Linked DNA regions of Arabidopsis thaliana. The protein of the gene in region 2 interacts with the protein of the main gene of each other region in a pairwise test. Each region holds a gene or a part of one and is shown on either strand. Other genes may lie near its edges.

Region 1 (7,826 bases), on a different chromosome or scaffold from region 2:
TACAAATGACGCGCTTAAATACCTTAGAGCCGTGAAGGCTAAATTTCAAGGTCAACGTGAAAAATATGACGAGTTTCTTCAGATCATGATAGATTATAAAACTCAGAGGTTAAAGTTCTTTCTACTTTTATGTTTGCATTTGGTCTTGGTTTAGGTAAAACTCCATGGTTTCTGAGAACTGATTACCGACTATTGTGTTGTATAGAATTGATATATCTGGTGTTATAATAAGGATGAAAGAACTCTTGAAAGAACAACAAGGATTACTTTTGGGTTTCAATGCCTTCTTACCAAATGGTTATATGATCACACATCATGAACAACCTTCACAGAAGAAACCTGTCGAGTTAGGGGAAGCAATTAGTTTTATTAACAAGATTAAGGTATATATGTTTATGTGTTATAAACTGTCCAAGGAAATTACTGCTTTTCCCTTTCCTACTCTCTTAGTTATTCATTCATTTGCAGACAAGGTTTCAGGGCGATGATCGTGTATACAAATCAGTTTTAGACATTTTAAACATGTACAGAAAGGATAGGAAGCCCATCACCGCGGTCTACCGGGAGGTAGGCTCATTGATTCATACTAAGTTTTTTTTTTTTTATTGCTAATATTTTACTTAGTTTCACACGTTTATCTTATCAGGTTGCCATCCTATTTCTAGATCATAACAATTTGCTTGTGGAGTTTACTCACTTTCTGCCTGCTACTCCAGCTACTCCAGCAACAGCCTTGTTGCATTCACAGTTTTGCATAGATCATCCTGATTTGCTTGAAGAGTTGGATTGCTTTCTGCCAACTATTTCTCAGAGTTTTTTGTGACGAAAGGATTGCTATGTTACTTCAATCGCTTCACATATAAGTAGTTTTTTTTTTTTAAAGTTACAAGTCAGAGATAATAGTAGAGGTTTTTTCTTTTTAATATGCATGATTAATAGCTTTCTTTTCCCTATAAATTATAGCCACTATCAAAATTCAAAATTACCATCATCTATAGTTATTCAATGCTTTTTTTTTTACCTAGTTATTTCAATGCTTACCTATGAGTTTACTATGTGTAACATGAGGATAAGGGTTATCGGAATTATTCTACGAACAAGGTGACAAAGTTTTCGGTCTACCGGAAAGATAGTAATGCCGATAAAAAAAAAATGAATTTAAAAGGCGAATAATATGTTCCGTTTTTATGGTTTTAATCAAGTTAGAGTTAAATTATTCTTCTATTAATGTTAGCCAAATATTATTTTTTAGATTTAAGCAAAATCTAACCGTGTAATGTAATATAGATTCCATTTACATCAATGATTTTAGAACATTTTTTCCCCATTAATAATTTTGATAGGTTTTGCATTAAGTAATTAACTTAGAAATTTTAAGAAAAAACATCTATGTTGACCAAAATAAAGAGAAAAAAAACATCTATTAATAATATGATTAATCATCTAAAACTTTTTAATTACAAAATTATTTCCAAAAAAAATGAATAATTTATTTTATATCAAAAATTTTCAAAATTAAGTATGTCTCTCTCACATACCAAAGGAGATAAAAACTTCCAAAAGAAAAAAAATGTTAAAAATAATAAAAGAAGAAGATAAATTATAAGTCTCCTAAAATGATACAACCAACAAAAGGAAGTAATAAAAACAAGAAAATACAACTTTGATTTTTATTTTATTTTTTGTCAACAGAAAAATGAAATAAGTAAGTAAACGAAAAATTTAGCGAACGAGAAAGTGTATTAAATATGTAGATTTTAATTTACTTAAGAAGACGTAAAACTCCTTTGAGAGAAATCTCAATCCTTTCTTCATAAAAACATAAAACTCTCGTTTGCTCAGTGAGTCTTTTCTTTCTGTCTGAAAATTGTTGAATAGTTTTTGTCTTCTCAGCTGTTTCGTCGGAGGAAGCTTCTTCTTCTAGACTTCTTCTTCTTCTTCTTCTTCGTCTTCTCTGAATTTCTTCGGTAAACTCTCTAACACATAAACGATGATGATCTTCTTTCGTTTTTTATCCTTTCTGTTTGATTTTTGGGTATTACAATTTTAATCGTGAACTGAATGTGAAATAATCTGAGGATTAAGTTAAGATCGATTTTTTCTGGTCCGTCTCCTTTTGTTTTTTCTTCATAAATTGTTTCTGTAGCTGCTAGATCTACAGGTGTTGCTTATTGGGATGAAATTCAAGTTCGGTTCTTTGAATTTTCCTTGTTTATGTGATTGATTTTGAGTTTTACTAGGTTTTGATTTGTAGATGAACATGAAGAAAGTTGTTTTCAGCTTTTGTTCTTTTGCTGAATCCCAAATTTTACTTGAATTCTCTAAAGAAACGTTCTTTGGTCTTATGAGATGTTGAATAGCTTTCTAAATGATCTGTTTTTTTTAATGGTAATGAAGCTCTGTTCAACTTCAAACACCATGGTTGGAGGAGGAAGTGCTCAGAAGCTAACTACAAACGACGCTCTTGCATATCTTAAAGCCGTGAAGGACAAATTTCAGGATCAACGTGGAAAATATGACGAGTTTCTCGAGGTTATGAAGAATTTTAAATCTCAAAGGTATAGTTTTTTTCTTCTCCTTGTTATGTTTAGGTTAAAAACTTGGTATCTGAGAACTGATTGCTTAATTGTGTTTTTCATTGTAGAGTTGATACAGCTGGTGTGATAACTAGGGTAAAAGAACTTTTCAAAGGACACCAAGAGTTGATTTTGGGGTTTAATACTTTCTTGCCTAAGGGTTTTGAGATCACACTTCAACCTGAGGATGGACAACCTCCACTGAAGAAACGTGTTGAGTTTGAGGAAGCTATTAGCTTTGTTAACAAGATTAAGGTATATATATGTTTATGTGCTAAACTGTCTCAAGGAAATTACTGCTTTTCCCTTTCTTACTCTCTTCGATATTCATTGATTTGCAGACAAGGTTTCAGGGAGATGATCGTGTATACAAATCATTTTTAGACATTTTAAACATGTACAGAAGGGATAGCAAGTCCATCACTGAGGTCTACCAGGAGGTAGGCTCATTGATGCTGTTATGTGTATCTTTTTTTTGTTGCTATTCTGTACTTAGGTTTTACATGTCTATCTCAGGTTGCGATCCTATTTCGGGATCATTCAGATCTGCTCGTGGAGTTTACTCACTTTCTACCTGATACTTCAGCAACGGCCTCTATTCCATCTGTTAAAACTTCAGTTCGTGAGAGAGGGGTTTCTCTGGCTGATAAGGTTCTTCTCAGACTTTTATTTTCCTAGAAATACAATGTTCTATATGTCTAATCTTTTATTGAACATCATTTGATTGGAAATTGTTGCAGAAGGACCGGATCATTACTCCACATCCTGACCATGACTATGGTACTGAACATATTGACCAGGACCGGGAGAGACCTATTAAGAAAGAAAATAAAGAACACATGAGAGGTACTAACAAAGAAAATGAGCATAGGGATGCCAGAGATTTCGAACCACATAGCAAAAAAGAGCAATTTCTCAACAAGAAGCAGAAACTACATATTAGAGGCGATGATCCTGCTGAAATTTCCAATCAAAGTAAACTTTCTGGAGCGGTTCCTAGTTCATCTACTTATGATGAAAAAGGTGCCATGAAAAGTGAGTTCTCGTTTTATGACAACTAATTTGAAAGATAAGGAGTGAGTTTGTCGTTCGCTATTCCATGTGTACTTATATTTGTTTGATGTGATGTCAGGTTACAGTCAAGATCTAGCTATTGTCGATAGAGTAAAGGAAAAGCTTAACGCCTCAGAGTACCAGGAGTTTTTACGTTGTCTTAATCTCTTTTCAAAAGAGATAATCAGCCGACCAGAACTGCAATCTTTGGTATGAATAAATAAAATGCTTAAATTTTCACTGTGGCATTTGTTTGCAATGATTCATGAACATTTGTGCTTGTATCAGGTAGGGAATTTAATCGGAGTATATCCTGACCTCATGGATTCCTTTATAGAGTTTTTGGTGCAATGTGAAAAGAATGGTAACGAGGCAAATCTATGTTTCTCTCTTCCTACATTCATTGATTTCAGAAAAAAGACAGATTTGTAACCTTTTGAATCTTCTTGCAGAAGGACTGCTCTCTGGTATTCTGACTAAGAGTAAGTCTACTTATCTTTTGCAAGGGTACATGAATCTGATGCTGAGATATATTTGAAGTATTCACGAGTAGTGAAACTACACAACTCCACTATGAAATTTGATCTTCTTTCCAGATATATCCATTTCTAGTTCTGAAAAGAAAACAAATCCATTCTAAACTATACTGCAGAATCCTTGTGGAGTGAAGGCAAATATCCTCAACCGTCACTGGACAATGATAGAGACCAGGAACATAAGAGAGATGACGGGCTTAGAGATAGAGATCATGAAAAGGAAAGGCTTGAAAAAGCAGCTGCAAATCTGAAATGGGCAAAGCCAATCAGTGAACTAGATCTCTCGAACTGTGAACAATGCACTCCTAGTTATCGGTTACTTCCAAAGAATGTATGTGGCTGCAGCCTTTTATATGTGGATCTACTATTCTTGAGTTCATCTTTTGTTTCATTAGTCTAATGTAAGACATTATACTTTTTGCAGTACCCAATTTCTATTGCAAGCCAGAAGACAGAGATCGGTAAACTGGTTCTTAATGATCACTGGGTCTCCGTCACATCAGGAAGTGAAGATTATTCATTTAGCCACATGCGTAAGAACCAGTATGAAGAGAGCCTCTTCAAATGTGAGGATGACAGGTTGGTTAATCAACTTCTAATGGTGGACTGGAAACCTATATTCCATACTTTAAAAAAAAAAATTGGTTACTGACCTGTTATTGTGAGCCATTTTCTGTGTCAAATTGTGAGCCATTATTCCTCTCTTTATGCTATAGGTTTGAGCTGGACATGCTATTAGAGTCTGTAAATTCAACGACAAAGCATGTGGAAGAATTATTGACAAAAATTAACAGTAATGAACTGAAAACCAACAGTCCCATCCGTGTCGAGGATCACCTCACAGGTAACATAAGCTGGTGTAAAACAATAAGCAGCATGGATGTTAAATCACTAGCAGCTGAGCTCTTTAAATTTTTTTTTTTTTTTAATGGATTGCTTTGTTACTGTCTTTGTAGCTCTAAACTTAAGATGCATAGAACGGTTGTATGGTGATCACGGGCTCGATGTGATGGATGTGCTGAAGAAGAACGTGTCTCTTGCTTTACCTGTTATCCTAACACGTTTGAAACAGAAGCAAGAAGAGTGGGCAAGGTGTCGTTCTGATTTTGACAAAGTCTGGGCTGAGATATATGCTAAGAATTACTACAAGTCGCTTGATCATCGAAGTTTCTACTTCAAACAGCAGGATTCAAAGAAGCTGAGCATGAAAGGTTTGTCCGTAACCTATTACACACATTATTCTATTATATCAAGCAAGTGACTTTATGTACTATATTTTTTCTGTAGCATTGTTGGCAGAGATAAAAGAGATTACTGAAAAGAAGCGAGAGGATGATTCACTTCTTGCATTTGCAGCCGGAAATAGACTATCCATTTCCCCAGATTTGGAGTTTGATTATCCGGATCATGACCTTCATGAAGATCTTTACCAGCTGATCAAATATTCGTGTGCAGAAATGTGCTCTACCGAACAGTTAGATAAGGTAATGAAGATTTGGACAACTTTCGTGGAACAAATATTTGGTGTTCCTTCTCGCCCTCAAGGTGCTGAAGACCAAGAAGACGTTGTCAAGTCCATGAACCAGAATGTAAAGAGCGGTAGTTCAAGTGCTGGCGAGAGTGAGGGAAGTCCTCACAATTACGCTAGTGTTGCCGACTCTAGACGCTCAAAGTCATCTCGAAAAGCTAATGAACATAGTCAGTTGGGGCAAACTAGTAATTCGGAGAGGGATGGCGCCGCTGGTAGGACATCAGATGCCTTATGTGAGACTGCTCAGCATGAGAAAATGCTGAAGAATGTAGTTACGTCTGATGAAAAGCCTGAAAGCAAGCAAGCTGTTTCTATTGAGCGTGCACACGATTCAACTGCTCTCGCTGTGGATGGATTATTAGATCAAAGTAATGGAGGAAGCAGTATAGTACACATGACCGGTAACACCTCAAAATCTTGCTTAGAAGTTAGTTCTCTTGGAATTTTTCATTTTCTTTGTACAGTTAATGAATAGTTTCCTCTTTACTTGGTCAGGACATTGCAATAATAATCTGAAGCCTGTGACCTGTGGAACAGAGTTGGAGTTGAAAATGAATGATGGTAATGGGCCAAAATTAGAGGTATAGTTTCAGTGAAGCACGTTTTAGTCCCATCATCTTATATTTTGATCTGATACTTTCTATATAGATGACTCATTTCAAATGAAGGACCGAATTTTGTTGATATGGAACAATATCTCCCATTGTTTGCACTTGGTGCTTAGGTCCTTCATATGGAACTTAGATAGTTTTAAAATTTGAAGTTACACACCCTTAGTTCTGTGTTAACCAAGAGGTGGTACTGATAAACTTTGTCTCACAGGTTGGTAACAAGAAGTTATTGACAAATGGGATCGCGGTAGAAATAACAAGTGACCAAGAGATGGCAGGAACATCCAAAGTTGAAAGAGAAGAAGGTGAACTTTCTCCAAATGGAGACTTTGAGGAAGATAATTTTGCAGTTTATGCAAAAACTGATTTTGAGACCTTCAGCAAAGCGAATGATAGTACTGGAAATAACATTAGCGGAGATAGAAGTAGAGAAGGGGAACCATCTTGTCTGGAGACAAGGGCTGAGAATGACGCTGAAGGTGACGAAAACGCCGCAAGATCATCAGAGGACAGCAGAAATGAATATGAGAACGGTGATGTTTCTGGAACGGAATCTGGTGGTGGTGAAGATCCGGAGGATGATTTGGATAACAATAACAAAGGAGAAAGCGAAGGTGAGGCTGAATGTATGGCTGATGCACATGATGCTGAAGAAAATGGGTCTGCCTTACCCGTTTCAGCACGATTCTTGCTGCATGTAAAGCCCTTAGTAAAGTATGTTCCTTCAGCTATAGCTTTGCATGACAAGGACAAAGACTCTCTGAAGAACTCCCAAGTTTTCTATGGAAATGATTCGTTTTACGTGCTTTTCAGGCTGCACCGGGTAAGAGCTAAAGATCATATACAGTTTGAAAAAATTATAAACAGTATAATCTAAAGTACAAAGAGTTTTCACTAGCTAACTTTACGCTATTACTCTTGACAGATATTGTATGAGAGAATACTATCAGCAAAAGTTAACTCATCATCCCCGGAAGGAAAGTGGAGGACCTCAAATACCAAAAATCCTACTGATTCCTATGCTAGGTGAAATTTGCTTTTTATTGCAGAGATTGTGTGTGTTTCTGGGATTCATATGTGCTCCATACTTATAACTTTAATTAATGTGGAACAGATTCATGACTGCACTCTACAACTTACTTGATGGTACATCTGATAATGCCAAGTTTGAAGATGACTGCCGAGCGATAATCGGGACTCAGTCTTATATTCTCTTCACATTGGACAAACTGATCCATAAATTCATCAAGCATGTGAGTATTTTTGCTCTTTGATGTTTTCTCTATGTATTCACCTCTCTATCTTTACTTGCTTTTTACTAACATACGTGTGGTCATTCTTCAGCTACAAGTAGTAGTAGCTGATGAGATGGACAACAAGCTTCTTCAGCTTTATTTTTATGAGAAATCCAGAAGGCCTGAAACGATTTTTGATGCTGTGTATTACGATAATACCCGTGTCCTCCTCCCTGATGAGAATATTTACCGTATTGAATGTGTAAGTTTTTGCTGCATCTTAC
Region 2 (4,601 bases):
AGTTAGTAATACGCAAACCGGTAATCTACTTCTAATCAATTAATTTAAATGAGTTTTCCAGGCGTCTATTATAACTTCAAAGTCTCGTTTTCCGACAATTAATATATTGTGTGATTAAGATGAAAATAAGACAACTACGACGACAAGCTAGCCAAACTCTTTTGGAAGCGAATAAAACAAGACTAGCTATTTGTGAACTTATTATTTTCTTCTTAGACTGATGATTTTACAATTGTAACAATGCACTCCTATTTAGACCAGTGATTGGCTGATGGCCAGGTTATTTTGTATAATACTCTCTAACCTTTCTCCATTTGTCTAGTTAACCTTTAGCCATTTGCCTTGTTAATTGCTCATACACTTCTTTTTCTCCTTAGTTCAAGTGTAATGTCCAAGCCATTCATTATCCATTGTCTTGTTAATGAATCCATTTGTCTCAACAGTTTTTTATATTAATTTTCTCCTTAATTCTAGAATTATCTTCAATAACTAAAGATTAGACCAAGTTGTTCTCATTTAATAGCAATGTAGAATCATTTGGAGAGAAACTATCATTTCAAAGCCGAACAACCGAATTCTCGAAAGGTTGTAAAAGTAAAAAGTAACATTGTGGATTAATCTCAACTCCAGAATAATAGAAGATTATTAAGAGTACGAACCGAAACAGGAAAAGCGACTTGAGATCAGTTGTCTTAAATCGTTACAGTGAAAATAACAAGACATTGCTTTTGACTTCCACTTTAAGTTAAGAAGAAGCCTACCCCAAAACGGTAAAAAAATACTCGGTTTTTGCTTCAGACACAAAGATTCACTGTCTGAATCCGTGGCATAGAAGCAAAGTAGATACCAAAATTGGGAAAACTCTCTACCAGCAAATTCAAATCAAAAAGGTCAAACACACAACGAATTCTGCCACCTCAACCCACAGCTCTTAAAGATCAAAACAATCATCTCAGCCACCAAACTTTAACCTAAAGATTTGGCCTGTGCTCATTGAGCTTTATCGATCACAACAAAACCACTCACCGCCCATTGACCATGCCCTTAATCTCTATGTTCTTCACCATCCAAAATATTCATTGGGTACACAAAAGGGAAAGCCTTTCTTGTCTCCTCGCTGATGAATGAAAACTTGAGGCTTAACAATGACAATGAGTATTCTAACTTCCTCTTCGAATCACCCAATTAGATAGCAAAGGAGCTTCACCGTCTTTCTTCCTTTCATCTTTTTATTGCTTCCATCTCAGAGAACCACTAAGCTTTACTTGTTGAATAGAAGAAACCCTGAATTGATCAAGATCAAGCCAAGAGACAAAACACAAACAAATACTTGTGCCCTGTGTGGTTCTGTTACATACTATGTAAATGCAGCTTCCTACTTACATCAGGGGACACTCTATGAATAAGTAGAAATCTAAAGATAATGGATTTGAATCATTCAGAAATCATCACCAGCTTCAGAATGTTATATATATGTAACAAAGGGTTGTTGGATCTTTTATAAGAAGAAACAGATAAAAATGAAACCCAGATCTGGTTCTTACAGTAACAGATCTTAACACAATCTCTCTCTCTTTTTAATCGTCATCATCTTCGTTGATGATAAAATCATCACGCTCAATCTTTTTTTTTTGTTCTTCCTTTTTTTCTCTTTCAATATGATATCAAAGGAAAATGGAAAAACAAAAGAGCATAAAGTTATCATTTTGTAAAATTTGAGAATTTTTTTTGTGTGTAATCAACGGATTTTTTTTGTAAAGCAGCAAATCAGAGACGTAGATCGGTACAGTGGAGATCATCTATCCCGCCAGCGAATAAGTCAACGCCATCCAACGGCGGGAAATTAAGATCAAACTGAAACGGCGTTTTCCGGCGGGAAGACGAAGATGCGATATCATCTCCGTCGTCAATAACAGACGACGAAGAATCGCAGTCGCTATGACAATCCTCCGGAGCTACCGGTGGAGTTCTCGGATATCTCTTAATCGCATGTAACGGTTTCGCCACCGACGAAGACGCCGCCGCGGCTTCCATCGGTCTCGGTCCGCTACAAGATTTAACGGTGCTGCTCATGCTGCTACTCGCCGGCCGACTAATAATCTGCTGCTGCTGCTGCTCCTGGAAATTACCTCCGCCGTATAACCGATGGTCCATAAACGGATCGATCTGGTTCTGAATCACCGGAGGAGAACAGAGGTTTTGATTGTGGAGGTAGGTGAGAGGTTGGAGAGGAGAAGAAGGAGAACAATCGATCGGGAAATTGGTCTTGGCCTTTGGACCACGGAGGTTACGTGCGGCGGTATCGTAAGCGCGTGCAGCATCTACGGCGGAATCGAAAGTACCGAGCCAGACACGAGATTTTTTTAATGGATCACGGATCTCAGCTGCGAATCGACCCCAAGGTCTCTTCCTAACGCCTCTATACCTCGGCTCCTTCACAGATCCACCGGCGGTTACTGGAAGGGCGGGTCCAACGACGGAAGAGCCTCTCCCTTTCCTCATGGAGAAGAAAAAAGATGTAAAGCCAGAAGTAATGTGATGAAGAAGAGATCTGTGTGTGTTTGTGTGAAGAAGAGAAGAAAATGTTGAAGAGAGAAGAAAGATGAGGAAGAAGATGAAGGAACAAAGGGTAGAGATTGGAAATTATTATTATAATTCTCTTTTTTTTTTTCTAAATAATTTACTCAAAGAATTTTCATTTAATAAATTAATTAAAATAATAATTTATGGTTGGAATAGCTTTTTCTTTTCTTTTTTTTTTTGGTTGTTAATTTCGATTTTTTCTCTACCTTCACGCCCGACCCACAAGACCGACCAATTCGTTTCTTTAAAAATTTAATTATGGAGTAACATTTTTCCTAACTTGGATTCTTTTTTTCTTTTGCTTTAAACTTTTTATTCGATATATTGTGTGGAGAAAAAAAAACAAAAAATTAAAAAAGAGTTCACAAGAGATGTCTCGAAATGCGAAGAAAGTAAAAGAGGGTAAGCACTTGCACTCTCTGTCCTGACCCTGACCACAATCTATATAATAAAATCTTATGTCTTACTGTTTGTTTGTTATCAAATTGATGCACCTAGAGACCAAATAGTCCACTTGTAATGACCAAAAACACCCTCCAGATTTTATTTTATTTTATTTAATAATACACCCCTCTTCGAAATTATTATTAGTTTCTTCTCCTTCCTTTGGGACCCTACAAGAGACGAGACGCGCTTATCGGCATCGTCGTCGTCTCCCGTGTTAAAAGTAAATGCCGTGTTGAGGATACGCATTAATGTGGAGAAACAAACATTTTTGTTCTTATAAAAACTGAATTATGTCTCTCCATTAAACCCCAATCTCAGAACACAAAACGAAAACAAAAATAACTCTAAAGAAGAAACAACACATTTTTCGAATTTTTAAAACTTGCTTACCATAAAATTCTGGATTTTATTTATCCAGTCTAAAATCTACAGGCTGATCATAGTAGCCTGCTTAGGGATTTGATGAGTAGTTTAAGGTTTTTTCTTGTGGCTTCATCTCCTGTGAATCCCAGAATATCTGAGCTTATACTCTACAATCAAGAAAATCAAAAACCAAGTCTTTGTTAACATTGTTTCTTCCAACTTGTCAAAGCTGGTATTGATAGAATAAGAAGAAAAAAAAGTTTACCTCGACGTTCTTCAAAGTATAAACCAGAGTGTAGATTGACTTCTGTATGAGTTCTGTATTCTCAGGAGTCATAATTGACGAATTAACCTTTCTGCAATGTAACCAAAATGAAAATTATATTTTTGCTGTCTACTGCAAGAATATAGGTTCTCATAATCACAGTTATCACTCAGTTGATCATACGTATGTAAGTAAACGAGCTTTTGCATATATGTGGTCCAGGAACATACATTAAGTGACAGAAACAGTAGGCTAGCAGAAGATAAGTAGAGGCAACACAAGATAAATTATTGAAATTTTAAGACAATAGAGGAAAGATTGAAAAGCACTGATGAGCAAAGCAGTTAATTTAACATGGAACCCATAAGATAAGACACATTTATGCATAGATATGTATGTGTTTTAACTTTTTAACCATCATCTCTTGTTCAGAAACTTAATCCACAAATAGAGTGTTGAAGCCACATACGAGAAATTGAAGCTAGTGTGCTTATATCTATCGTAAGGTCTGCTTTCATCATGATGCAGAAAGAGTTTTGCATTTGCACTATGGAATTCAAAATATTCATAATGATATACAGTCGATATGCCAAGATTGTTCCACTAAGAGCTATTACCTCAAATCGTCAGAAGCTTGGGTAAGGCTTCGAGTAAGACACTCAACTTCCTTGAGCAAGCCGCTATCACGAAACTCAGAGAGCAAAGGTTGAGCATCTTCAGCCATGGCTTGAATCTGTGACATCACTACATCAAAACCCAACGCATAAGCAGGAGAATACATTTTTTTCCAATCTTGAAATTCACCTATCGATTCTTTTTGAATACTGTAAACAAGATCTAAACAAAGACCACCAAAATTACTCATATCACCTTTTTGAGCAATGGCCTTGCTTCCTCAATAACCGAAGCAGCTCTCTCAGCAAGCGAATACGTATTGGCAACA

What was found. The genes of interacting proteins can lie anywhere in the genome.
Region 1: the proteins of ERF7 (region 2) and SNL3 interact in a two-hybrid assay, tested with the Arabidopsis thaliana proteins (one study listed by BioGRID).

What each region holds. Positions count from the first base shown.
Region 1 is NC_003070.9:8,564,520-8,572,345, reverse strand, and holds the start of SNL3 (SIN3-like 3), read left to right. Parts: upstream 1-1,809; 5' UTR 1,810-1,967; intron 1,968-2,397; 5' UTR 2,398-2,418; coding exon 2,419-2,558; intron 2,559-2,644; coding exon 2,645-2,831; intron 2,832-2,917; coding exon 2,918-3,016; intron 3,017-3,092; coding exon 3,093-3,227; intron 3,228-3,316; coding exon 3,317-3,611; intron 3,612-3,708; coding exon 3,709-3,839; intron 3,840-3,917; coding exon 3,918-3,993; intron 3,994-4,081; coding exon 4,082-4,111; coding exon of another isoform or gene 4,112-4,136; intron 4,137-4,281; coding exon 4,282-4,496; intron 4,497-4,589; coding exon 4,590-4,744; intron 4,745-4,881; coding exon 4,882-5,009; intron 5,010-5,121; coding exon 5,122-5,376; intron 5,377-5,452; coding exon 5,453-6,097; intron 6,098-6,191; coding exon 6,192-6,277; intron 6,278-6,518; coding exon 6,519-7,130; intron 7,131-7,232; coding exon 7,233-7,333; intron 7,334-7,421; coding exon 7,422-7,560; intron 7,561-7,651; coding exon 7,652-7,804; and 1 more. Other genes in the region: AT1G24200 (Paired amphipathic helix (PAH2) superfamily protein), read left to right, coding at 1-108, 206-383, 469-567, 647-715, 1,069-1,173. UniProt on the Arabidopsis thaliana protein: Acts as a transcriptional repressor. Interacts with ERF7 to repress genes in abscisic acid and drought stress responses. The heterodimer represses transcription by tethering SNL3 to DNA.
Region 2 is NC_003074.8:7,084,190-7,088,790, forward strand, and holds ERF7 (ethylene response factor 7), read right to left. Parts: upstream 2,706-4,601; 5' UTR 2,503-2,705; coding exon 1,768-2,502; 3' UTR 538-1,767; downstream 1-537. Other genes in the region: ABCI15 (trigalactosyldiacylglycerol2), read right to left, coding at 3,468-3,560, 3,659-3,749, 4,276-4,391, 4,529-4,601.